Macaca fascicularis: one gene and its partners. The protein of the gene in region 1 interacts with the protein of each later gene in a pairwise test. Links are inferred from orthologs where the notes say so. Each region holds a gene or a part of one and is shown on either strand. Other genes may lie near its edges.

Evidence for each region. The genes of interacting proteins can lie anywhere in the genome.
Region 2: the proteins of RBBP8 (region 1) and RBL1 interact in a two-hybrid assay, tested with the Homo sapiens proteins (2 studies listed by BioGRID and IntAct). The link is inferred for Macaca fascicularis from reciprocal best matches to the Homo sapiens genes RBBP8 and RBL1.
Region 3: the proteins of RBBP8 (region 1) and RB1 interact in a two-hybrid assay, tested with the Homo sapiens proteins (2 studies listed by BioGRID). The link is inferred for Macaca fascicularis from reciprocal best matches to the Homo sapiens genes RBBP8 and RB1.

The regions. Positions count from the first base shown.
Region 1 is NC_088392.1:66,745,724-66,753,945, forward strand, and holds part of RBBP8 (DNA endonuclease RBBP8), read right to left. Parts: intron 3,044-8,222; coding exon 2,902-3,043; intron 1-2,901. UniProt on the Homo sapiens protein: Endonuclease that cooperates with the MRE11-RAD50-NBN (MRN) complex in DNA-end resection, the first step of double-strand break (DSB) repair through the homologous recombination (HR) pathway.
Region 2 is NC_088384.1:93,117,401-93,125,622, forward strand, and holds the end of RBL1 (retinoblastoma-like protein 1), read right to left. Parts: intron 3,586-8,222; coding exon 3,421-3,585; intron 1,208-3,420; coding exon 1,037-1,207; 3' UTR 389-1,036; downstream 1-388. UniProt on the Homo sapiens protein: Key regulator of entry into cell division. Directly involved in heterochromatin formation by maintaining overall chromatin structure and, in particular, that of constitutive heterochromatin by stabilizing histone methylation.
Region 3 is NC_088391.1:27,514,757-27,522,978, forward strand, and holds part of RB1 (retinoblastoma-associated protein), read left to right. Parts: intron 1-1,363; coding exon 1,364-1,420; intron 1,421-1,845; coding exon 1,846-1,877; intron 1,878-1,958; coding exon 1,959-2,035; intron 2,036-3,044; coding exon 3,045-3,241; intron 3,242-8,222. UniProt on the Homo sapiens protein: Tumor suppressor that is a key regulator of the G1/S transition of the cell cycle. The hypophosphorylated form binds transcription regulators of the E2F family, preventing transcription of E2F-responsive genes.

The DNA.
Region 1 (8,222 bases):
CCTGACCTTGTGATCCGCCCATCTCGGCCTCCCAAAGTGCTGGGATTACAGGCTTGAGCCACGGCGCCCGGCCTTATTATTTATTTTGTCTAGACCCAGGGTCTCACTCTGCTGCCACGGCTGGTCTTGAACTCCTGGGCTCAATGGATCCTCCCATCTTGGCCTCCCGAAGTGCTGGGATTACAGGTGTGAGACACTGTGCCCAGGTGAGAACAGTTTCCATAAGATGACAAGGCTGAAATGAAATTCTAGGTGGTATAATTTTATCATCTGACATTTATTTAATGCTAGTTTTTCTTCTAGTGGGTAAAAATTTTAGATGTTTATCTATAACTGACAAACACAGGCCTAAAGCCTGAGGGCTACTAATTAATTAAAAAGTCAAATCATAAATATTCTAAACACTACTATACTTTTCAATCACATACCAGAAGACACATCCCGTTTTCATAAAACTATTTTTTTTTTAAGACAAGTCAGGTACAGTAGTGAGAACGAAGGGAAAGAGTAAAAGAAGGAGTTTGATCTGTAACTGAACGATCAACTGAGATAACTAATGGCCTCTGGAACAGCTAAAACTCAGTATTTTAAACCAAAAGGTAAGACTTAGTCTGCACCTGGGTAGTCTTTGGACCATGGAGAAAATACCAAAAAATAATAAAGAGGTCAGATAAGTCCCTGCTTAGCTAATATTCTTCCTCTCTTGTGGCTTTTTTCTAAACAGCTTCATTCAAGTATACTTGGTATATATAAACTGTACATATGTAATGCGTTTAGTTTATATATATATAAACTATACATATGTAATGCGAATATTTAGTTATGTTTAAGGATGATTTTGAATTAAAATTCTTCATAAAACTAAGAGTATATTGTCTTATTAAAGAGAATGTCTGACTGAATGTCTATACCAACATTCATTTAATAACAAATGAGTTTTGAACTATATGTGCCACATACAAAAAAAGTCTAAGAATACAATCATGTAGAGAATAAAATCTTTAGTTAAAGAGGTCCCTTCAGGCCAGGTGTGGTGGCTCGAGCCTGTAATCCCAGCACTTTGGGAGGCCAAGGCGGGTGGATCACTTGAGGTCAGGAGTTCGAGACAAGCCTGGCCAGAATGGTGAAACCCCATCTCTACTAAAAATACAAAGAAAAAAGAGCTGGGTGTGGTGGCGTGTGCCTGTAGTCCCAGCTATTCAAGAGGCTGAGGCAGGAAAATCGCTTGAACCTGGGAGGTGGAGGTTGCAGTGAGCTGAGATCATGCCACTGCACTCCAGCCTGGGCCTTGCAGAGACTCCATCTCAAAAAAAAAAAAAAAGGCCCCTTCATAAAAACTAGTTATTAAATGCTCTATGAGCTCCTCTGGAATGATATTTTCACAACAAAGGGTCTGTGAAATGGACCCTGCTTAATTAAATAGCTCTTTTAAGGCTAAGGACTCGAGCTTTTCATTTCATTTAAACCAATGATTACAATGAAGTTCAGACCTTAGTGACTATGAATTACTATATGCCTGGAACAGTGGCAATGTCCAGATTAATAATCCTAGCTTGAGCACAGAAATGGGAGTATGCTACCCCAAAGAAAGTTATATGACATGAAGACTTCAGATCACATACCCAACTAACTTAACTTCGGTAGAAAATATAAAACCAGAAAAGTGTGGATCTATATTTTTTAGCATTATGCTGCTGGTAAGACAGAACAAAAATTACTACTCTTGACCTTTTATTAACAGCCTAAAAGCTGAATATATTCTCAAATTATATTAAATGTAAGTGTCATATCTAAACAAGCTAGTTGCATGTCAACAACCTAACAAATAAACATCTTTTTAATTCAGATACCATTTATAAACATACAGCATTCTGGATAAGTGAGGTTTAAAAATCCAAAATTCATAGCAGGAGATTTAAAAAGATTCTCTCTTTTTAAATATAACTTTGCTAGTAGTTTTTGTTAGGTTATTTATTTTATTTAAAGTCATTTTGGCTGGGTGCAGAGGCTCATGGCTGTAATCCCAGCGTTTTGGGAGGTCAAGGCAGGAGGACCACTTGAGGCCAGGAGTTCCAGACCAGCCTGGGCAACATAGTGAGACCCTGTCTCTAGCGAAAAACAAAACAAAAAAGTGCTGGGTGTGGTGGCACATGCCTGTAGTCCTTGCTACCTGGAAGGCTGAGATAGGATAGTTTGAGTCCATAAGTTGGAGGCATCAGTGAGCCATGACTGTGCATGCCACTGCACTCCAGCCCGGGTGACAGAGTGAGGCCCTATATTTAAAAAAAAAAAAAAAAAAAAAAGTCATTTTGATGATACAATAAAAGAGAAATTGTTTTTTGAAATTTGGTAAAGCAGAATAATATAAGCACAATCACATTAAAGTGATATAACCAATCTCTAATTCCAACTAAATTACTGAAGAGTCCTTTTATCTTTAGGAATGTTTTTATGTCACAAAACTACCACCCAACCTGCAGAAAAGGTAAAGAAACCATAGAAAAAAAAGTGCATGTTCACATTTGGGCACATACAGTATTTTATTTTATTATCTTATTTCATTTTATTTTTGAGACAGAGTCTTGCTCTGTTGCCCAGGCTGGAGTGCAATGGCACAATCTTGGCTCACGGCAACCTCCATCTCCTATGTTCAAGTGATTCACTTGCCTCAGCCTCCCCAGTAGCTGGGACTACAGGCGTGTGCCACCATGCCTGGCTAATTTTTTGTATTTTAGTAGAGATGGGACTTCACCACGTTGGCCAGGCTGGTCTTTAACTCCTGACCTCAGGTGATCCATCCGCCTCGGCCTGCCAAAGTGTTGGGATTATAGGCATGAGCCACTGTGCCCGGCCAAGTATTTAAAAAAATTAATTATAAAATGTTGCAATCTATACTCTCACCTCTTTCCATACAAGTCTGAGTGGAAGGAAAACCAACTTCCCAAAAATTCTCTGGTGTGTTGGGTGGAATGTAGCGGAATCGGTGTCTTGAGCAGGAAGCCAACTTCTTTTCTCTTTCTTCTGCTGGCATATCTGCATAATACTAACAATAAAAACTGGTAAGTTTTTTCACTGAAGAATAATAAATGGAGTGTTATGCTTATTGATTATAAACTAGAAGCTAAAAAAGCCATTTACTAAGATATTCAGCATTCTAAGGAAACTTAATCCTCACTGATGATACTATTAGTAATTAATTCTTATAGACAGTACTGATGTTGGTCTGTGAAGTGCCTGCTTCACTGATGAGAAAAGGAGCTTGTATCACAATGTAAACCAATAAAGTGCTTCCTTCATCAATAAAGTCTTGCAATGAAAAAAAAAGAAAAGCCAGTTGAACTTGACAGTGTGCTTAGTGATACAGTGGATTTATACACTGGTAGAAAGTCTTTATCCTTATTAGGCCAGTAACAAAAATTCAGAGGTCTACATGTTTCTTAATTGTTATCTGAATATAATGTGTGTTTCAAGGTAATTTTCCGATCTCTACGGTTTTAAAAAACAATTTAGATCTGAATGTTGTAGGCTCCATGAGTTCTCCCTTTAAGGTTTCAGTTAGGATCAAAAGCATACTATTTTTTGGCAACTGTGAAAACACAGAACTTGAACTTCATGCACACAAGGATAAAATTATATGTAAAAATTGTACAGGTTTTTAAGGCCTAGACCTAATGAAAACAAAGCAGTAGTATAAGGTTTAATAGAACATAGATGGACAGAATCACTTTTTTTTTTGAGAGACAAAGTCTTACTCTGTCACCCAGGCTGGGGTGCAGTGACACGATCTTGGCTCGCTGCAACCTCCCACTCCTGTGTTCAAGTGATTCTCTTGCCTCAGTTTCCCAAGTAGCTGGGACTACAGGCATGTGCCACCATGCACAGCTAATTTTGTCTTTTTAGTAGAGACGGGGTTTTACTATATATTAGCCAGGCTGGTCTCGAACTCCTGACCTCAAGTAATCCACCTGTCTCAGCCTCCCAAAGTGCTGGGATTACAGGAATGAGCCACCCAGAATCACATATCTAATCCAGCCAATTCCTTCACTTTACACTTGAGAAATTGAAAATGAAAGTGGTAATTTGCTAAAGATATCACCTATTGAAAGTGACAGACTTAAAACTAGAATTTAAGTTTGAAGTAAAAGCTTTTAATACATTTCTATTTTACGTAGATTAAAGGCTTTAAAGAAGTGTGAAACAACTTTATTCAGGTATCTTTTTCATCATTCTCACGGCCCTAAGTTTAAGCCTTTGTTACCTTAGTCTGGGCTTTGGGATGAGATGACCTTAGAGAATCAGGGATTACTGGAAAAAACATTGCCACTGAATTAAAACATACTTGAGAAACAGTAGTCGGTCAGTGCAGTTCTAAGACGGCAAGCAAATGGGTGAGTGGTAGAACAGGAAATCAGAGAGGAAGTGCAGTGCCAGAGTTTGTTGTCCTTGATAAGGACTTTAGATTCTTTTTCTTAGTGGGATGGGAGGACACTAAAGGATTTTGGGAATGACATGATTTAACTTTCATTCTAAAAAAAGGCCATTCATTGCTGAGCTGAAAGTACATTGTTAACAGACAAGAATGAAAAGTAAAAGAGAATGAGGACAGAAGTACATGGGAACTCTATGTACTTTCTGTACAACTTTGCTGTGAACCTGTAACTGCTCTAAAAAAATAAATATTTATTTATTTCTTTGAGATGGAGTTTCGCTCTTGTTGCCTAGGTTGGAGTGCAATGGAGCGATCTCAGCTCACTGCAACCTCTGCCTCCTGGGTTCAAGCGATTCTCCTGCCTCAGCTTCCCTAGTAGCTGGGATTACAGGCATGCACCACCACATCCAGTTAATATTTGTATTATTAGTAGAGACAGGGTTTTACAATGTTGGCCAGGCTGGTATTGAACTCCTGACCTCAGGTGATCCACCCGCCTCAGCCTCCCAAAATGCTGGAATTAGAGGCGTGAGCCAGTGTGCCCAGTCAAAATAAAAGTTTTAGAGTAAAAAATAAATGACCAGGAGAGCACTTAGAAGCTATTACAATTATAAAATGTTGGCTGGGTGCAGTGGCTCACGCCTGTAATCCCAACACTTTGGGAGGCCGAGGTGGGCGTTTCACAAGGTCAGGAGATTGAGACCATCCTGGCTAAGATAGTGAAACCCCGTCTCTACTGAAAATACAAAAAAATTAGTCAGGCGTGGTGGCGGGTGCCTGTAGTCCCAGCTACTCGGGAAGCTGAGGTGGGAAAATGGCGTGGACCCAAGAGGCAGAGCTTGCAGTGAGCTGAGATGGTGCCACTGTGCTCCAGCCTGGGCAACAGAGCATGACTCCATCTCAAAAAAAGAAAAAAAAAATTAAAAATGTTGCCTTGGTCCAGGGCATTAGTGGTGGTGACAGTAAGTGGATGGATATGGGATATATATATATATATATTTTTTTTTTGAGACGGAGTCTCGCTCTGTCGCCCAGGCTGGAGTGCAGTGCCCATATCTCGGCTCACTGCAAGCTCTGCCTCCCGGGTTTACGCCATTCTCCTGCCTCAGCCTCCCGAATAGCTAGGACTACAGGTGCCCGCCACCTCGCCCGGCTAGTTTTTTTTTTTTGTATTTTTTAGTAGAGACGGGGTTTCACAGTGTTAGCCAGGATGGTCTCGATCTCCTGATCTTGTGATCCGCCTGTCTCAGCCTCCCAAAGTGCTGGGATTACAGGCTCGAGCCACTGCACCTGGCCTGATATGGGATATATTTTGAAGGAAGAATCAACGAATCAATGGGGTTTGTTGATACGTAAGTTATTGAGATGTGAAATAAAAAAGTAGTGAATAACTACAAGATCTCAGGACATATAGGAGATTCAGCGGTGAGGTTTGGGAATTGAGGGCAGATATTGTATGTTTGTTTTTGGACGTGTGAAATTTGAGATCACTACTGCAGATCCACATGAGTATTGCACACTCAACTTGTGGAATAGGCAATGGGATACATTTAAGAACTGCAAGCTTGTAGTTAGTATTTAAGTACATGGGACTGGCACTTACACTTCTGTTTATGATTGAGTAACAGAACAGATTCACCCTCCTACCTAAATTAACTAGAAAAACTAAAATGTACACAATAATGTTTTGCAGAGATTGGATAACAGAAAACACGGGAAATGATTATTGAGAATGAATGCAACTTAACAGCTTTTCTATCAAACTAGCTTTTTTCTAACTAGTAGGATTAGTTCTAGATCGTAGAATTATGGATATAACTAAAAATCAGAGATTTACTCAATGCGGACCATATTCTTTTTTTTTTTTTTTTTGAGACGGAGTCTCGCTCTGTGTCCCGGGCTGGAGTTGCAGTGGCCGGATCTCAGCTCACTGCAAGCTCCGCCTCCCGGGTTCACGCCATTCTCCTGCCTCAGCCTCCCGAGTAGCTGGGACTACAGGCGCCGCCACCTCGCCCGGCTAGTTTTTTGTATTTTTTAGTAGAGACGGGGTTTCACCATGTTCACCAGGTTGGTCTCAATCTCCTGACCTCGTGATCCACCCGTCTCGGCCTCCCAAAGTGCTGGGATTACAGGCTTGAGCCACCGCGCCTGGCCGCGGACCATATTCTTTAAGAAATCATGATATATTGAATTTGTGTAATGATAACTCACGAACTCACATTATAGGCTTTTGCTTGTATTGCCAAACTGCTTTTCAAAATAGTGATCCCCATTGTTAGTACATAAGAGCATATTTTTACCCAATGCTTACCTGCATTACAATCTAGTCATACTTTCACATATAATTTTCATGTGCTTGGTTATCAAATTTTCTAGCCCACAGGTTAAAAAGGAAATTTAAAAGGGGAAGTAAATTGCTGAAGGCAGGCATCTGAGAGCTAATGGACAACAAGGGAAGAAATAAAAACAGCATGTTCCAGGTCAAAACAGAACCTGCCTGGGACTATTTAGTAAAAGGACAATCAGTACAGTTGGCCCTTCATATCCTTGGGTTCTGCATTCATGGATTCAACCAGCCATGGATCAAAAATATTCAGGAAAAAAACCTGCATCTGTATTAAACATGTACAGACTATTTTTCTTGTCATTCCCTATGCAATACAGTATAACAACTATTTACATAGCATTTACATTGTAATAGGGATCATAAGTAATTAGAGGTAATTTAAAGCATAATGAAAGAATGTGCATGGTTATAGGCAAACACTACGTCATTTTATATCAGGGACTTGAGCATCTGTGATTTTGGTATCCACAGTAGGTCCTGAAGCCAGTTTTCCACAGATACAAAGGGATGTCTGTACCAGCTACTTCAACATCCAAGACAGCCCATGTATAAAAGGAAAAATGTAAGTGTTTAACTGTTTATTCATTGTATCTTGTTTAGGAAGAAAAATTTTTGGTGCGGTGACTCACACCAGTAATCCCAGTACTTTAGGAGACTGATTACTCACACCAGTAATCCCAGTACTTTGGGCGGATCACCTGAGGTTGGGAGTTCAAGGCCAGCCTGGCCAACATGGACCTGTCTCTACTAAAAACACAAAATTAGCCGGGCATGGTGGTGCATGCCTGTAATCCCAGCTACTCGGGAGGCGGAGGCAGAGGCAGGAGAATCGTTTGAAGCCGGGAAGTGGAGGTTGTGGTGAGCTGAGATCAAGCCACTGCACTCTAGCCTAGGCAACAACAACAAAACTCTGTCTCAAAAAAAAAAAAAAAAAAAAAAAGAAAAAGAAAAAGAAAAAAAGAACTTGGCCAGCCACGGTGGCTCCCATCTGTAATCCCAGAACTTTGGGAGGCCAAGGTGGCTGGATCAATTGAGGTTAGGAGTTTGAGACCAGCCTGGCCAAATAGTGTAACCCTGTATCTACTAAAAATACAAAATATCCATGCATGGTGGGAAGCTGAGGCAGGAGAATTGCTTGAACCTGGGAAGTGGAGGTTGCAGTGAGCCAAGATCGTGCCACTGCACTCCAGCCTGGGCAACAGGGCAAGAATCCGTCTCAAAAAAAAAAGAAAAAGAAAAAAAAAAAAAAAAAAAGAACTTATATTGGTGGTACCAATTATTTTAAAAAAATTAAGAGTATACCTAATTTCCTGAGAATGCTGGTGAAAATAATGCTTTTTTTTGAGACGAAGTTTCACTCTTGTTGCCCAGGCTGGAGCACAATGGCATGATCTCAGCTCACTGCAACCTCCGCTTCCGGGGTTCAAGCAATTCTCCTTCCTGCCT
Region 2 (8,222 bases), on another chromosome or scaffold:
CCCTTCCTTCAATATTAAATTGAGAATACAAATATCTCAAAGCATGCTTACCAAAAGTAGATTATTTATCCTCATATTACAACACACAGGAGGAGGAGACATTTATTTTTAAAAGAGAGCTAAAAAGTTATGGGGTTTCTCCTAATTTCAACTTGAAAACTAACTTAAGGAGCAAACATTAAAAAAAAAAATCCCTATTAATATATACATATTTTTGAGATGGAGTTTTACTCTTGTTGCCCAGGCTGAAGTGCAGAGGCACAACCTAGGCTCACCACAACCTCCGCTTCCTGAGTTCAAGCAATTCTGCCTCAGCCTCCCAAGTAGCTGGGATTACAGGCATGTGCCACCACACCTGGCTAATTTTGTATTTTTAGTAGAGATGGGGTTTCTCCATGTTGGTCAGGCTAGTCTCAAACTCCCGACCTCAGGTGATCTGCCCGCCTTGGCCTCCCAAAGTCCTGGGATTACAGGCGTGAGCCACTGCATCTAGCCGGACTATTAGTATTTTTTTTTTTTTTTTTTTGAGACGGAGTCTCGCTCTGTCGCCCAGGCTGGAGTGCAGTGGCCGGATCTCGGCTCACTGCAAGCTCCGCCTCCCGGGTTCACGCCATTCTCCTGCCTCAGCCTCCCCAGTAGCTGGGACTACAGGCGCCCACCACCACGCCCGGCTAGTTTTTTGTATTTTTTAGTAGAGACGGGGTTTCACCGTGTCAGCCAGGATGGTCTCGATCTCCTGACCTCGTGATCCGCCTGCCTCGGCCTCCCAAAGTGCTGGGATTACAGGCTTGAGCCACCGCGCCCGGCCACTATTAGTATTTTTAAAAGGCACTTAAAATATTCCTTTCCAGTCCAACTCAAAATACATCTCTGTCAATTACATTTTGGATAAATATTTTAAAAAGCACATTTTTGTGCAATTTTTTTCTTATAATCCAGCAATATTTACCATCCATAGGGCTAAAAGGTTTGAAGGACAGAGCTCCAACTTTCTGCAGAACAATCTGAAAGTGCTTTTATCATAGAAGCAAGAACATTAATGATTTGCTCTTTCACTGACAACATCCTGTAGTCGTTTCAGTAAAACATCATCATTTTCTTGACAGACGCGTTTGGCAGGGGATTCTGCATCACTATCGATGGCTATTACTCGCTTCTTGGTTCTCTGCTCACCTTGCCTTATCATGTTGTTGATCTCTTTCAAACTCTGTGCAGAAATAGAGAACGTGTGTGAGTAAAAGAGGGAGAAGGGAAATGGCAGCAAACAACCAAGTGAATTGTTTTTTCCTGTGTTCTATCCTCTATCCAAATCTTCACACTGGGATAAGGATTCTTTTTAAAACTTAGAACAACCTCATAAGGGATGGCTTGAACTAATCTTTTCAGGTGGCTTAAAAATTAGATTTAAGGCCAGGTGTGGTGGCCTGTAATACCAGCACTTTGGGAGGCCAAGATGGTTCAATCACTTGAGCCCAGGAGTTTGAGATCAGCCTGGGCAACATGGCAAACCTGGTCTCTACAAAAAATACAAAAATTAGGCAGGTGTGGTGGCCTGTGCCTGTAGTCTCAGCTACTCGGGAGGCTAAGGAGCATCACCTGAGCCTGGGGAGGTTGCGGCTGCAGTAAGCAGTGATCATGCCACTGTACTCCAGCTTGGGAAACAGAGTGAGACCCTGTCTGAAAAAACAAAACCAAAACAACTGAATTCACTGTATAATAGTAGTTCTCGATGACCAGAAGCAGAAGAAGCATCTATAATTTTTTTATTTTTTGAGACAGGTTCTCTCTCTGTTGCCCAGGCTGGAGTGCAGGGCATGATCTTGGCTCACTGCAAGCTTCACCTCCTGGGCTCAAGCTATTCTCCTGCCTCAGCCTCCCTAGCTGGGACTACAGGCACATGCCACCATGCCTGGCTATTTTTTTGTATTTTTAGTAGAGACAGGATTTTATCATGTTGGCCAGGCTGGTCTTGAACTCCCGGCCTCAAGTGATCCCCCAACCTTGGCTTCCCAAAGTGCTGGGATTACAGGGGTGAGCCACCATGCCTGGCCTTATCTGTTTTTTTTTTTGTTTATTTTTGAGACGAAGTCTTGTTCTTGTCACCCAGGCTGGAGTGCAATGGCACGATCTCAGCTCACTGCAACCTCTGCCTACTGGGTTCAAGCGATTCTCCTGCCTCAGCCTCCTGAGTAGCTGGGATTATAGGTGCCCACCACCATGCCTGGCTAATTTTTGTATTTTTAGTAGAGACGGGGTTTCGCCATGTTGGCCAGGCTGGTCTTGAACTCCTGATCTCGTGATCTGCCTGCCTCGGCCTCCCAAAGTGCTGGGATTACAGGCGTGAGCCACTGCGACCAGCCCTAATCTGTTTTAACAAGCCCTCCCAATGATTTTAAAGCTCCCTACAGTTTGAGATCCTCTTCCTTAGAGTAATGCTTTTCAATTTTTTTTTTTTTTTTTGAGACAGAGTCTTCTTCTGTCGCCCAGGCTGGAGTGAAAAAGGGGTGATCTCGGCTCACTGCAACCTCCGCCTCCTGGGCTCAAGCGATTCTCCTGCCTCAGCCTCCTGAGCAGAGTAGCTGAGATTACAGGTGCGGACCATCATGCCTGGCTAATTTTTTGTATTTTTAGTAGAGATGGGGTTTCGCCATGTTGCCCAGGCTGGTCTTGAACTCCTGAGATCAGGCAATCCGCCTGCCTTGGCCTCCCAAAGTGCTAGGATTATAGGCTTGAGCCACTGTGTCCAGTCAGGTATATTATCTTAGCCAACTTTGTCAAGTATAGTGAGAACTCTGTAGGCATCTGTATAACTTAATAGGAAAGTAATAAGAAGGAGCCAATGTATTTGGACTGAATTACAATATGCCCCACTACAATTTCTTCCAGTTTATACTGATTCTGACTTCTGGAGACATACTGAACAGATCTGCTTGACAGTCCATGAAGTATCTGAAAACAGCAATCATGTCCATATCACATCTTCACCACTCAACAAGGATAAGGATGGAGATGATCACAGAGTTGTCTATGTACATAAGAGGAGGCTTGTGTTTTCAGACGTCTTCCTATCTTGGGTGCCATCTACCAAATGCACTTTCACTTCCAATGCCTTTCTTTCAACTTGACATCCCCCAGGTCTGACCACTTGCAGATGTTGCTTTACTGGTCCCTTCTCAAGATCTTGCTTGAACAGGAAAACATGCTGGACTTTCAAAATGAACTCCACAAATACCATGTCAATAATAATGGATTAAACTACCTCAAACTGAATATACTGCTCTTGATGAGAGGAGACATGCCATAGTTAACATTTCATATTTTATTAGTATAGTAGAAACTTGGCCAAAAACAAAAAAAGAGGCAAGATTAACAGTTACTGACTGTTAATGTGAAATCCAGCTTTTAGCCTATTCACCTTACCTTAGAAGGGCTGCCATTGAACTTGTACAGCAGAGTGCTTCTTGGTGTAAGGCCTGACCCATTCTTGTGTGGGGAAATATAAATGGAGTGCTGTTGGGAAATGCGGCGTGGTGAGCCTGGCTGTTGTTTAATATGTGGAAAAGGAGAGAGTGGTGGAGCATCCATCTAAAATAACCCAAAAGTCAGATTTTTTAGATAAAAGTTTTTCTTTGTTTTTGAATCCCATATTTTTATTCTTTTTTTTTTTTTTTTTTTTTTTTTTGAGATGGAGTCTAGCTCTGTCGCCCAGGCTGGAGTACAGTGACCGGATCTCGGCTCACTGCAAGCTCTGCCTCCCGGGTTTATGCCATTCTCCTGCCTCAGCCTCCTGAGTAGCTGGGACTACAGGCGCCCGCCACCTCGCCCGGCTAGGTTTTTTTTGTATTTTTTAGTAGAGACGGGGTTTCACCATGTTAACCAGGATGGTCTCGATCTCCTGACCTTGTGATCCGCCCGTCTCGGCCTCCCAAAGTGCTGGGATTACAGGCTTGAGCCACCGCGCCCGGCCATTTTTATTCTTATGATATCTCCTAGTTAGGAATCAGTTATACTATAAAAGCTCATTTATGGTTGAGAAAAGCAAAAAAAAAAAAAAAGATCTGTTACTTCTTTTTTTTTTTTTTGTTTTTTACAACAACAACAGATAAAGTAGAATTTATTTTCTTGGATCTTTTTTTTTTTTTGAGATGAAGTATCTCTCGCTCTTGTTGCCCAGGCTAGAGTAAGATGGTGCAGTCTAGGCTCACTGCAACCTCTGCCTCCCAGGTTCAAGCGATTCTCCTGCCTCAACCTCCCAAGTAGCTGAGATTACAGGCATGTGCCACCACGCCCAGCTAATTTTGTATTTTTAATAGAGATGACCATCTTGGCCAGGCTGGTCTCCAACTCCTGACCTCAGGTGATCCACCCACCTCGGCCTCCCAAAGTGCTGGGATTATAGGTGTGAGCCACTATGCCCTGCCTATTTTCCTGGATCTTTCAGGAAGTCCTATAACTAGTATTAAGAATTCTGGCCGGGTGTGGTGGCTCACACTTGTAATCCCAGCACTTTGGGAGGCCGAGGTGGGTGGATCACCTGAGGTCAGGAGTTTGAGACCAGCGTGGCCAGCATGGTGACACTCTGTCTCCACTAAAAATGCAAAAATTAGCTGGGCGTGGTGGCACATGCCTGTAATCCGAGCTATTCGGGAGGCTGAGGCACTAGAATTGCTTGAACCCAGGAGGCAGAGGTGTTGCAGTAAGCCCAGATTGTGCCACTGCACTCCATCCTAGGTGACAGAGCAAGAATCTGCCTCCAAAAAAAAAAAAAAAAAGATTTCTGGGGCCAGGTGCAGTGGCTCACTCCTATAATCCAGCACTTTGGGAGGCCAACATGCTCTGATCACTTGAGGCCAGGAGTTGGAGACTAGTCTGGCCAACATGGCAAAACCCCACTTCAGCCTCCTGAGTAGCTCCTAAAAATATAAAAATTAGCCAGGTATGGTGGCATGCGCCTGTAGTCCCAGCCACTTGGGAGGCTGAGCATGACAACTGTTTGAACCCAGGAGGCAGAGGTTGCAGTGAGCCGAGTTTATGTCACTGCACTCCTCCCTAGGTGACAGAGTGAGACTCTGTCTCAAAAGAAAAAAAAAAAATTCTGGACAAGACACCAGGAGTTAAGCCACGAGCACGAGAACCTCATATTCATGCTTAAAAAGTAAGGACAGGCTGGGCAGGGTGGCTCACGCTTGTAATCCCAGCACTTTGGGAGGCCGAGGTGGGTGGATCATGAGGTCAAGAGTTCAAGACCAGCCTGGCCAAGATGGTGAAATCCTGTCTCTACTAAAAATACGAAAATCAGCTGGGCGTGGTGACAGGCGCCTGTAATGCCAGCTACTCAGGAGGCTGAGGCACAGAATTGCCTGAAGCCGGGAGGTGGAGGTTGCAGTGAGCCAAGACTGTGGCCACTGTACTCCAGCCTGGGCAACAGAGCGAGACTCCTTCTCCAAAAAAAAAAAAAAAAAAAAAAAGTAGGGACAAAGAATAACCAATCTTCTAACACTTGCTATAACAATCTCTCTCTACACACACACAAAATCTCTCTCTACCCCACAACCAAAGCAGTAGCAGAGAGAATAAAAGAGGCAGAGAATTCTATAAGCCAGCAGAATGATTCTGACATGGAAAAAAATCTGTTAATGAAATGGGAAACACTTCATATGGAAATGGAAAATATTTAGAAATAAGTTGGATGAGCAAGGATTTCATTTTCTTTAATATCCTGTATAATGGAAATAAATTAAGATGGTAGAGATATTCAGAGTATATAGACAGAGGGGAAGTGAAACTGGAGTAGGATGAACAGTTATGACCTCTGAGGATAGTCATAGACCATATTCCATGAAAAGAGGAAGAACAGAAATGTACAGATGCACACAGATACATAGAAACAGCTATTGGCTGGCTGGCTGCAGCTTCTGCTAGGGCCTTCTTTTCTTTTCTTTTTTTGAGGCAGGGTCTTGCTCTGTTGCCCAGACTGGAGTGCAGTGATGCGACTGTGGTTCATTGCAGCCTTGACCTCCTGGGCCCAAGCGATCCTCCTACCTTAGCTTGCTGAGTAGTTGGGACCACTACTTGGGTGTATACCAGCCACTACATGGCTAATTTGTAGAGTTTTTTTTTTTTTTTAAAGAGACAGGGCCTTCTTATTTTTCCAGGCTGGTCTCAAATTCCTGGGCTCAAGCAATCCTCCAGGCTTAGCTTCCCAAAGTGCTGGGATTACAGGCTTGGGAAGTGCCTGGCTGGTCTCTTTTTCTTAGAGCTAAAGTCTGGTCTTCTGGGAAGCAACCTCAGCTTACACACTGGTAACACTTTCTCAGGCCTGCTGCGACTGCCAAAACTGGGGTCTGCATAATTTTTTTTTTTTTTTGAGACGGAGTCTCGCTCTGTTGCTTGGGCTGGAGTGCAGTGGCATGATCTTGGCTCACCGCAAGCTCCACCTCCCCGGTTCACGCCATTCTCCTGCCTCAGCCTCCCTAGAAGCTGGGACTACAGGCGCCCGCCACTATGCCTGGCTAATTTTTTTTTTTGTCTTTTCAGTAGAGACAGGGTTTCACTGTGTTAGCCAGGATGGTCTCAATCTCCTGACCTCGTGATCCGCCTGCCTTGGCCTCCCAGAGTGCTGGGATCACAACCGTGAGCCACCACGCCTGGCCTGCATAAAAATTTCTTAGTGGTGCCTCTATTAATGATCCAGGCCTATCTACTTCCTTTTGCCTTTTTTTTTTTGAGACGGAGTCTTGCTCTGTTGTCCAGGCTGGTGTGCAATGGTGCAATCTTGGCTCACTGCAACTCTGCCTCTCGGATTCAAGTGATTCTCCTGTCTTAGCCTCTCACGTAGCTGGGATTACGGGTGCCTACCACCATGCCCGGCTAATTTTTGTATTTTTAGTAGAGATGGGGTTTCACCATGTTGACCAGGCTGGTCTTGAACTCCTGACCTCACGTGATCCACCTGCCTCGGCCTCCCAAAGCACTGGGATTACAGGCATGAGCCACAGCGCCTGACCTCCTTTTGTCTTTTTTTTTTTTTTTTGAGATGGAGTTTCCTTCTTGTCACCCAGGCTGGAGTGCAGTGGCACAATTTCTGCTCACTACAACCTCTGCTTCCTGGGTTCAAGTGATTCTCCTGCCTCAGCCTCCCGAGTAGCTGGGATTACAGGTGCCTGCCACCACGCCACCTAATTTTTGGTAGAGATGGGATTTCACCATGTTGGCCAGGCTGGTCTTGAACTCCTGTCCTCTGGTGATCCACCCACCTCGGTCTCCCAAAGTGCTGGGATTACAGGCATGAGCCACCACACCTGGCCCCTTCTGTCTTTAACTTGAGAAAAACATTAATCTCACAATGTAACAACAGAAAAATTTACCAAATTTGCTGGGCGCAGTGGCTCATGCCTATAATCCCAGCACTCTGGGAGGCTGAGGTGGGCGGATCACGAGGTCAGGAGTTCAAGACCAGCCTGACCAACATGGTGAAACCCTGTCTCTACTAAAGATACAAAAAATTAGCCAGGTGTAGTGACATGCTCCTGTAATACCAGCTACTGGGGAGGCTGAGGCAGGAGAATCACTTGAACCTGGGAGGCGGAGGTTGCAGTTGAGCTGAGATCATGCCATTGCACTCCAGCCTGGGTGACGGGGTGAGACTCTGTCTCAAAATAAATAAATAAATAAATACAAACAAATTAATTGTTTTAATATTCATGTTCCCATCAAGTTCTTACCCATATGTACACGGAATTTCTAGTAACATAATCATGGTATAGATAAAATTTCTGCCAGGCGTGGTGTTTCACACCTGTAATCCCATCACTTTGGGAGTCTGAGGTGGGTAGATTGCTTAAGTCCAGGAGTTCCAGACCAGCCTGGCCAACATGGTGAAACCCTGTATCTACTAAAAATACAAAAAAATTAGCCAGGCGTGGTGGTGGCACGCAGCTGTCCTACCAGCTACTTGGGAGGCTGGGGTGGGAGCATCGCTTGAGCCCTGGAAGCAAAGGTTGCAGTGAGCCAGGATCTCACCACTGCACTGTAGCCAGGGCAACAGATTCCATGATTTCCTCTGGTCTCTGTTGTACCATAGCCTTAATCACCGATTAAGTTACTAGTCATGCTCTGATTAATTGCTAGTAATTTTACTTTGACATACTTATCTAGCAAAATAAACTTACAGTAATTCAACTATGACAGCGAATAATAATAAAGTAGTAAAACATAAAACA
Region 3 (8,222 bases), on another chromosome or scaffold:
CTTCAGTTTGGAAAAAACTTTTGACTCTTATAATAACACTTAGCTTAAAACACAAACACCTTGTCCAGCTGTACAAAAATATTTTCTTTCTTTATAATCCTTATTCTATATGCTTTTTTTCTATTTACATTTTGTTTTCAATTTCATAAACATTTTTGCCCAAAACAAAGGCAAACACACATTAGCCTAGGCCTACACAGGATCAGGATTAATAATACCACTGTCTTCTGCCTCCAAATTCTGTCCCAACTCTTCAGGGACAATAAAATGCATGGAGCTGTCATCTCCTATGACGATGATGCTATCTTCTGGAATATCTCCTGAAGGAGCTGCCTGAGGTTGTTTTACAATTAACTTTTTTTTTTTTTTTACAAGTAGAAGGAGGATGCTCTAAAATAATGAAAAGTATAGGATAATAAATACATAAACCAGTAACATATTCATTATTAAATATTATGTACCATACATAATTGTATGTGCTATACTATGACTGGCAGTGCAATAGGTTTATTTACATCAGCATCATCACAAAGATGTGAGTAATGCACTGCACTACAACATTACACTAAACAAAAGGAATTTTTCAGCTCTGTTATAATCTTATGGGACCACTGTTATATATGCAGTTAGTTATTGACCAAAAACATTGTTATGTGGTGCATGATCGTGTATGAGATTTTTGCTCTTAATTTGGAATGAAATAATATGGTGTGTGTTTATATCTCTAAAATTTGGTTATTCTTTCAAATAATGGGAACCAGTTATTTGGTTAAAACGTCTTGCTCATAAGGTCAGTTTGATCTGATTTTTTCTGTGTCAGTTTTACTAAATTTATGGACAAAGACTGTCCTCTTAATCCTAGACAACCATCTTGAAAATACATGTCCTAGGTCATGAGAAATGTTATAGAAGGCACATAAAGTGCTTAAAATAGTACTGGGCATATAACCTATCTTTAGTATGAATGATATAGACTAAAATGAGTTAAGGAAATTCAGGTACTGGACCTACCCTCTTGTTAATTTACTTGGGAATGTTAATCACCACTTAATACTTAAGTCTTGAGTTTTAGACAAGCTAGCTTTTGTGTTTTCTTGGCGGCCATATTTCTAAGAGAAGTATGTTTTAAGAAAAGGCTTTTTAAAAAATTAGTAATTGTCAGCTGGATATAGAAGTGCATGCCTATAATCCCAGTCTCTTGGGAGGCCAAAGCAGGAGGATCTCTTGAGCCCAGGAATGTGAAGGCCAGCCTGGGCAAAATAGTGACACTCCATCTCAAAAAAAAAAAAAAAAAAAAAAAAAAATTAGTAGTTGTGATTTTCTAAAATAGCAGGCTCTTATTTTTCTTTTTGTTTGTTTGTAGCGATACAAACTTGGAGTTCGCTTGTATTACCGAGTAATGGAATCCATGCTTAAATCAGTAAGTTGAAAATAATATAAAAAAATTTCAGCCGGGCATGGTGGTTCACACCTGTAATCCCAGCACTTTGGGAGGCCGAGGTGGGCAGATCATGAGGTCAAGAGATCGAGACCATCCTGGCCATCTTGGTGAAACCCTGTCTCTACTAAAAGTACAAAAATTAGCTGGGCATGGTGGTACACGTCTGTAGTCCCAGCTACTCGGCAGGCTGAGGCAGGAGAATCACTTGAACCCGGGAGGTGGAGGTTGCAGTGAGCCAAGTTCGTGCCACTACACTCCAGCCTGGCAACAGAGTGAGACACCATCTTAAAAACAAAAAACAAAAAATAAACCAAAAAAAAAAACAACAAAAATTTCAATGCTAACACAAATAAGGTTTCAATTAAACAACTTCTTTTTTTTTTTTTTTTAATTATCTGTTTCAGGAAGAAGAACGATTATCCATTCAAAATTTTAGGTAAATTTTTTACTTTTAGTAAAACAATTTTTTTTTCTTTTTATAAAAGTAAATATCTTATAATCTTTTTTTTTCCTTTAGCAAACTTCTGAATGACAACATTTTTCATATGTCTTTATTGGCGTGTGCTCTTGAGGTTGTAATGGCCACATATAGCAGTAAGTTAAATTTTCATGAATAAACATTTTTGTTCAATTTAAAGTTAAAATGTAGTGTGTTTCTTTGGTGGGAGGAGAGGGATAGTGTGAGGTTAAGGAGAAGGAATGCTTATTTTAGATCACTATATACTGAACAATGTAATTGGTCATTATAAGCCATTTAAGAGGCTTATTTGAATTATTTGAGGCCATCTTGGGGATAATATTTCACTAGGCTCCTCTTCTGAGTATACTGGTATACTGAATTTAGAAAAGGTACATTTTGAAATCCCTCCGAAGACCTGTGAGATTGTAGAGTGCCAAAGGAGTATTCAAGAGTAGCCTCTACTGATATGGAAGCACTGCTATAACCTCCATGGTTATGAAACTAAAGACTGAAGCTGGAACCCACTGGATAAACAGAACAAAGGCCAGTTACAGTGTTTTTAAAAATATAAATGTATATCACTTTGCAAATTATGTTGCAAATGTTAAAAGAAAGTTTTGCTTGCAGAAACAAAAGGAACATTTGTAAAGGATGCAAAACACAGTGAAAGAGGAACTTCTAGTTTCCTTATTAGTAAACAAATAAGGAAAACTGTGAATCCTCATTTATAACCAAGAAATGCATATTTTAAAGAGATACCATTTTCTGACTAATGAAATTAGCAGGATCTTGAAGAATCTGTCTCTCCTCTTACCAAGGATTAATGAGAATTAAAATAGATATGCTAATAAATGGCTGGTAAGATACTAAACCTGTTTCTGATATAAGTTTAGGGTATTTAAACCTTTGAAAATTTGAGATAAGCTATAAGCCCTTTCTCTAGGAAAAATATAGATGTGCATACACTCAAAATTGGAAGGCTATTTCCTATGAGTCCGTAGACTCCAAAATAAAAAATTCTGCTCTAAATAAAAATCGTTTAACCTTTCTACTGTTTTCTTTGTTTGATAAGACTTTCCAAAAAAATACCTAGCTCAAGGGTTAATATTTCATATCTAAGTTACTTTTTTTTTTCATTTTTAGGAAGTACATCTCAGAATCTTGATTCTGGAACAGATTTGTCTTTCCCATGGATTCTGAATGTGCTTAATTTGAAAGCCTTTGATTTTTACAAAGTGATTGAAAGTTTTATCAAAGCAGAAGGCAACTTGACAAGAGAAATGATAAAACACTTAGAACGATGTGAACATCGAATCATGGAATCCCTTGCATGGCTCTCAGTAAGTAACTAGCTACATAATTGAAGAAATTCATTCATGTGCATATGGCTAACAAATTATCTGTTAGTGAGAGGTGTTTCTTAACATCTACCTCAAGAACAAATAGGCAATAATGAATAATGTTATTTCAGTCTGTAGCCCAAGAATCAAGTAGAATATTAGAATGGAGCTTTATTCGAGCGCCCTAAACCATCTAATACAGCATAGTGATTTATTTAAGAATAGCTTTTCTTAAAACATGGCACTTTAAAACAAAACAGAATTCTTTTTTTTTATTATTATTATATTTTAAGTTCTAGGGTAAGTTCTAAGTTCTAGGGTGCAGGTTTGTTACATATGTATACCTGTGCCATGTTGGTGTGCTGCACCCATTAGCTCGTCATTTACGTTAGGTATATCTCTTAATGCTATCCCTCCCCCCTCCCCCCACCCCACCACAGGCCCCAGTGTATGATGTTCCCCTTCCTGTGTCCAAGTGTTCTTATTGTTCAATTCCCACCTATGAGTGAGAACATGCAGTGTTTGGTTTTCTGTCCTTGCGATAGTTTGCTCAGAATAATGGTTTCCAGCTTCATCCATGTCCCTACAAAGGGCATGAACTCATCCTTTTTTATGGCTGCATAGAATTCCATGGTATATATGTGCCACATTTTCTTAATCCAGTCTATCATTGATGGACATTTGGGTTGATTCCAAGTCTTTGCTATTGTGAATAGTGTGGCAATAAACATACATGTGCATGTATGTTTATAGCAGCACGATTTATAATCCTTTGGGTATATACCCAATGATGAGATGACTGGGCCAAATGGTATTTCTAGTTATAGATGTTTGAGGAATCGCCACACTGTCTTCCACAATGGTTGAACTAGTTTACAGTCCCACCAACAGTGTAAAAGTGTTCCTATTTCTCCACATCCTCTCCAGCACCTGTTGTTTCCTGACTTTTTAATGATCACCATTCTAACTGGTGTGAGATGGTATCTCACTGGTTTTGATTTGCATTTCTCTCATGGCTAGTGATGGTGAGCATTTTTTTTTCATGTGTCTGTTGGCTGCATAAATGTCTTCTTTTGAGAAGTGTCTGTTCATATCCTTCACCCACTTTTGGATGGGATTGTTTGATTTTTTTCTTGTAGATTTGTTTAAGTTCTTTGTAGATTCTAGTTATTAGCCCTTTGTCAGATGGGTAGATTGTAAAAATTTTCTCCCATTCTGTAGGTTGCCTGTTCACTCTGATGGTGGTTTCTTTTGCTGTGCAGAAGCTCTTTAGTTTAATTAAATCCCATTTGTCAATTTTGGCTTTTGTTGCCATTGCTTTTGGTGTTTTAGTTATGAAGTCCTTGCCCATGCCTATGTCCTGAATGGTATTGCCTAGGTTTTGTTCTAGGGTTTTTATGGTTTTAGGTCTAACATTTAAGTCTTTAATCCATCTTGAATTAATTTTCGTGTAAGGTGTAAGGAAGGGATCCAGTTTCAGCTTTCTACATATGGCTAGCCAGTTTTCCCAGCACCATTTATTAAATAGGGAATCCTTTCCCCATTTCTTGTTTCTGTCAGGTTTGTCAAAGATCAGATGGTTGTAGATGTGTGGTATTCTTTCTGAGGGCTCTGTTCTAAAACAGAACATAATTCTTTAAAGTATTTAGATAATTTATTTAAAATACAGTCGTCATTATGTTTGAAAATGTAAATGTCTGCTCTTAAATTGTGAGATTATGTTATTTAGATTATTAAAAAGTGCATTTTTTTCTTGTTGAATATAATAGGATTCATTTTTCCCATTATTAGAGTATAAAAATCTATACTATTGTTCAATTATAGGTATTGGTGTATTGGTTCAATCATTATAGGGGCACAAATTATATTGTCTAGGATTCTCTTTATAGCATTATAACTATTGATAAGGCTTTTGTTTTAATAAAATTGGCAACTTGAGTTTATGCTCTTCAAATCTGCATAGTTGGATAATACTTTGTGAATCATCAGATTTGTAGATTAATGGTTTCTTTTGAAACTGTGTTGCATGCTAAGTATATATCTTTTAATTTGTATCAGTATATAGAAATGGTAATTAAAAATTAAGACTTTAGGTATGCTATAATCCTAATTTGCACATGTAACCTTAGTTTTAATTTCTTTATGTTTTGAATTTTTAATGACTAAGCAATAGTTTATTTCTTAGTGTTTTCTTGTGTTGCCATATAGACAGTGAATAGAGGAGAGAAGCATGGGAAATTGATAGAAGAATGTTATACTCCTATTATTGAATTTGGTAACTACTTATGGAATGAACTTACACTTGATAAGGAGTACTTAGGAGAAAACTTTCTGAATCTGGGGAATTAAGTGAAAGTAAAAATAAATAAATAGATAAGTAAATAAAATAAGCACATAGAGTACTTTTTAAAGGCTATGTGTCCTCTCCTCCCAGAAATTGATATTGAGATATTACCATATCATCTGAAAGTGACTATTGTTATTTCTTTTAGAGAGTTAATTTTATTTCTATCAACACATATTTATTGAACATATGCCATATGCCTTGAATTGAGAGAGATATTGTGAGGCTACAAAAAACATAAAGGCTTGGAAAATTGTGTAGGAAGTAATAAAAATTTACTGTTTAAAAATTGCTTGTATGCAAGTCTGTCTAGCTCAATTATTTAGGGCTTCTAAACAATATTCCTTTATTTTTGAAAATTTTTGGAGAAGAAGTGACAAGTCCAAAGTTTGGAAAAGACTATAATTGATTTACAATAGGAGATGTGGAAGTCATAAGCCTCCGAATTTAAATATTAAATGTGGTTCTTTGGCAGATGAAACTATAGAAGACTTTTATTTAGTCATATATTTTTAGTGTTTGAATTTTATGTTACATTTTTAATCATAAAACCCTTGAGTGGTAGTGGGTGGCTTTGTGAAGATAAGTTATGCCACACAAACAGGATGCTGTGTATTTTTTCCTGTGAGAAGAATTGACATTATAGAGAAGGGATATGGCTTAGATACATTTGCATTTTCACAGACTTTTTTTTTTATTTGAAATATATATTGAGAAAAGTATATATCTCAAGTGACAGTTTGGTGAATTTGTCACAAATTGAATACATCCATGTAAACAACACCCAGATAAAGACCCAGAGAAGGTCTTTCGATTCTGTGTCACAATAAAAAATTCTCGTTTAAACTGTAGATTGATAGGAACATATTCACACAGAGTTGTTGACTGAGGGAAATTTCAAATGAGGTGCCGCTTACTTCTCTCCTGCCAATAATTTAATGAAAAAAAGAATATCATCTTATTTTTAATGGTTGTGTGGGGAACTGGGTTCAGCATTTTTGCTTGACAGCCTTGAGAAAAGAATAAAGAAGGAAAAAGTCCACTTCTGTTTCTTTTCATCCCAGAGAGATTAACGGGCAATATGAGTGTAAGATGCTGGAAAAGTCTGTTGAGAAACCTAGTGAAATCTCATTCTCTGAAAATTTGGGGGATTACAGGTGCTTTAGAATGCATCATGCCTAAGGGTTAGATGAAATGACCTCCAGGTGTTTGACCCTATTAAATCTGTTAAGAGGCTTATAATGCCAGCAGGTGATGAAATGAAATTTGGATGCCTTAGTTTCAGTATTTTCAGAATTTATCATATTTTTTCAATAAATGTTTATAAATCAAAATACATCAGGTGCTTTATTCTCTATATGGTCTCTCTTTCCTGGACTCTTCTGGACTCTTCCTACTGATCTCTCATTTGCTACCTTGAGGCCTTTCTCTCACAGCAGCCAGAGAAATCTGCTCATAATGTAAATCTCATCATGCTAACTCCTCCGGTAAAAACCTCCTGTGGAGGACACATTCCTCTGGTAATGTTGGAAGAAAACCCTACCATATGACTCTCTGCAAAAAAAAAGACCACGATACTACCTGTTTGGAATACAAATAGTAATTGACTGAAATTACTGGACAGGAAGAACAGACTCTAGTTGAGAAAGAGAAGAGGGGAGCTGGGAGCCTGAGGAGAAGGCTTTTAGTCTAGGGCTAAGTGCAGTAGGTATAGGGAAGGACAGTATGGTAGGGCAGGAATGTCAGTGGGAAAACTATGGGTCTCTTTACCAGGGAAACTGCAAAGTTGAAGCTGGGGAAACCTTGGCCACTGAAGAGAGTGGAAGAATCCTGCAAGGGAAAGAGCCAAGAAAGGGTACCCAGATTCTGTCTGAAATCTGAATAGTTCCTGTGTATAACAGACTCAGAGCAGCCAAATGAAGGGCAGAGGATCTGAACTGAGACTGGAGTTGCTGCCCAATAAACAGAACAGTTCAAGTTAAGCAAAGATAATTACTTCTTGTAACAAACAACAAAACCATGCTCATTTTAGAAAAATAGCAGAATTTAGGATCTTCACAATTTAACATTTATGATATTCAGGATGCAATTCTAAAATTATCCAGCATAGAAAGAAGGTCAAAGGAATCAAATGCAGGTTTATAGAACAGGAGCTTTAGACCAGGTGTGTGGTGCACACCTGTAATCCCAGTATTTTGGGAGGCTAAGGTGGGAGGATCATTTGAGCCCAGAAGTTCAAGACCAGCCTGGGCAACAAAGCAAGACCCCATCTCTTAAAAAAAAATAGCTAGGTGTGGTGGCATGTACCTGTGGTCCTAGGTACTTGGGAAGCTGAGGCAGGAGGATCACCTAAGCTCGGGAAGTCAAGGCCGCAGGGAGCCATGATTGTGCTTCTGCACTCTAACCTGGGCAACACGAGACTCTGTCTCAAAAACATAAAACCAAAAAAACTAGAATGGGAGCTTTAAGTTAACTGTGGTCAGGCATTGCTAAATTATGGGGATACATTCTAAGAAATACTTCATTTAGGCTATTTTGTCATTGTGTGAACATCATAGAGTATGCTTACACAAACCTATGTGGTATAGCCTACTACACATCAGGGTAGGAATAGCCTGTTGCTTCTAGGCTACAGAC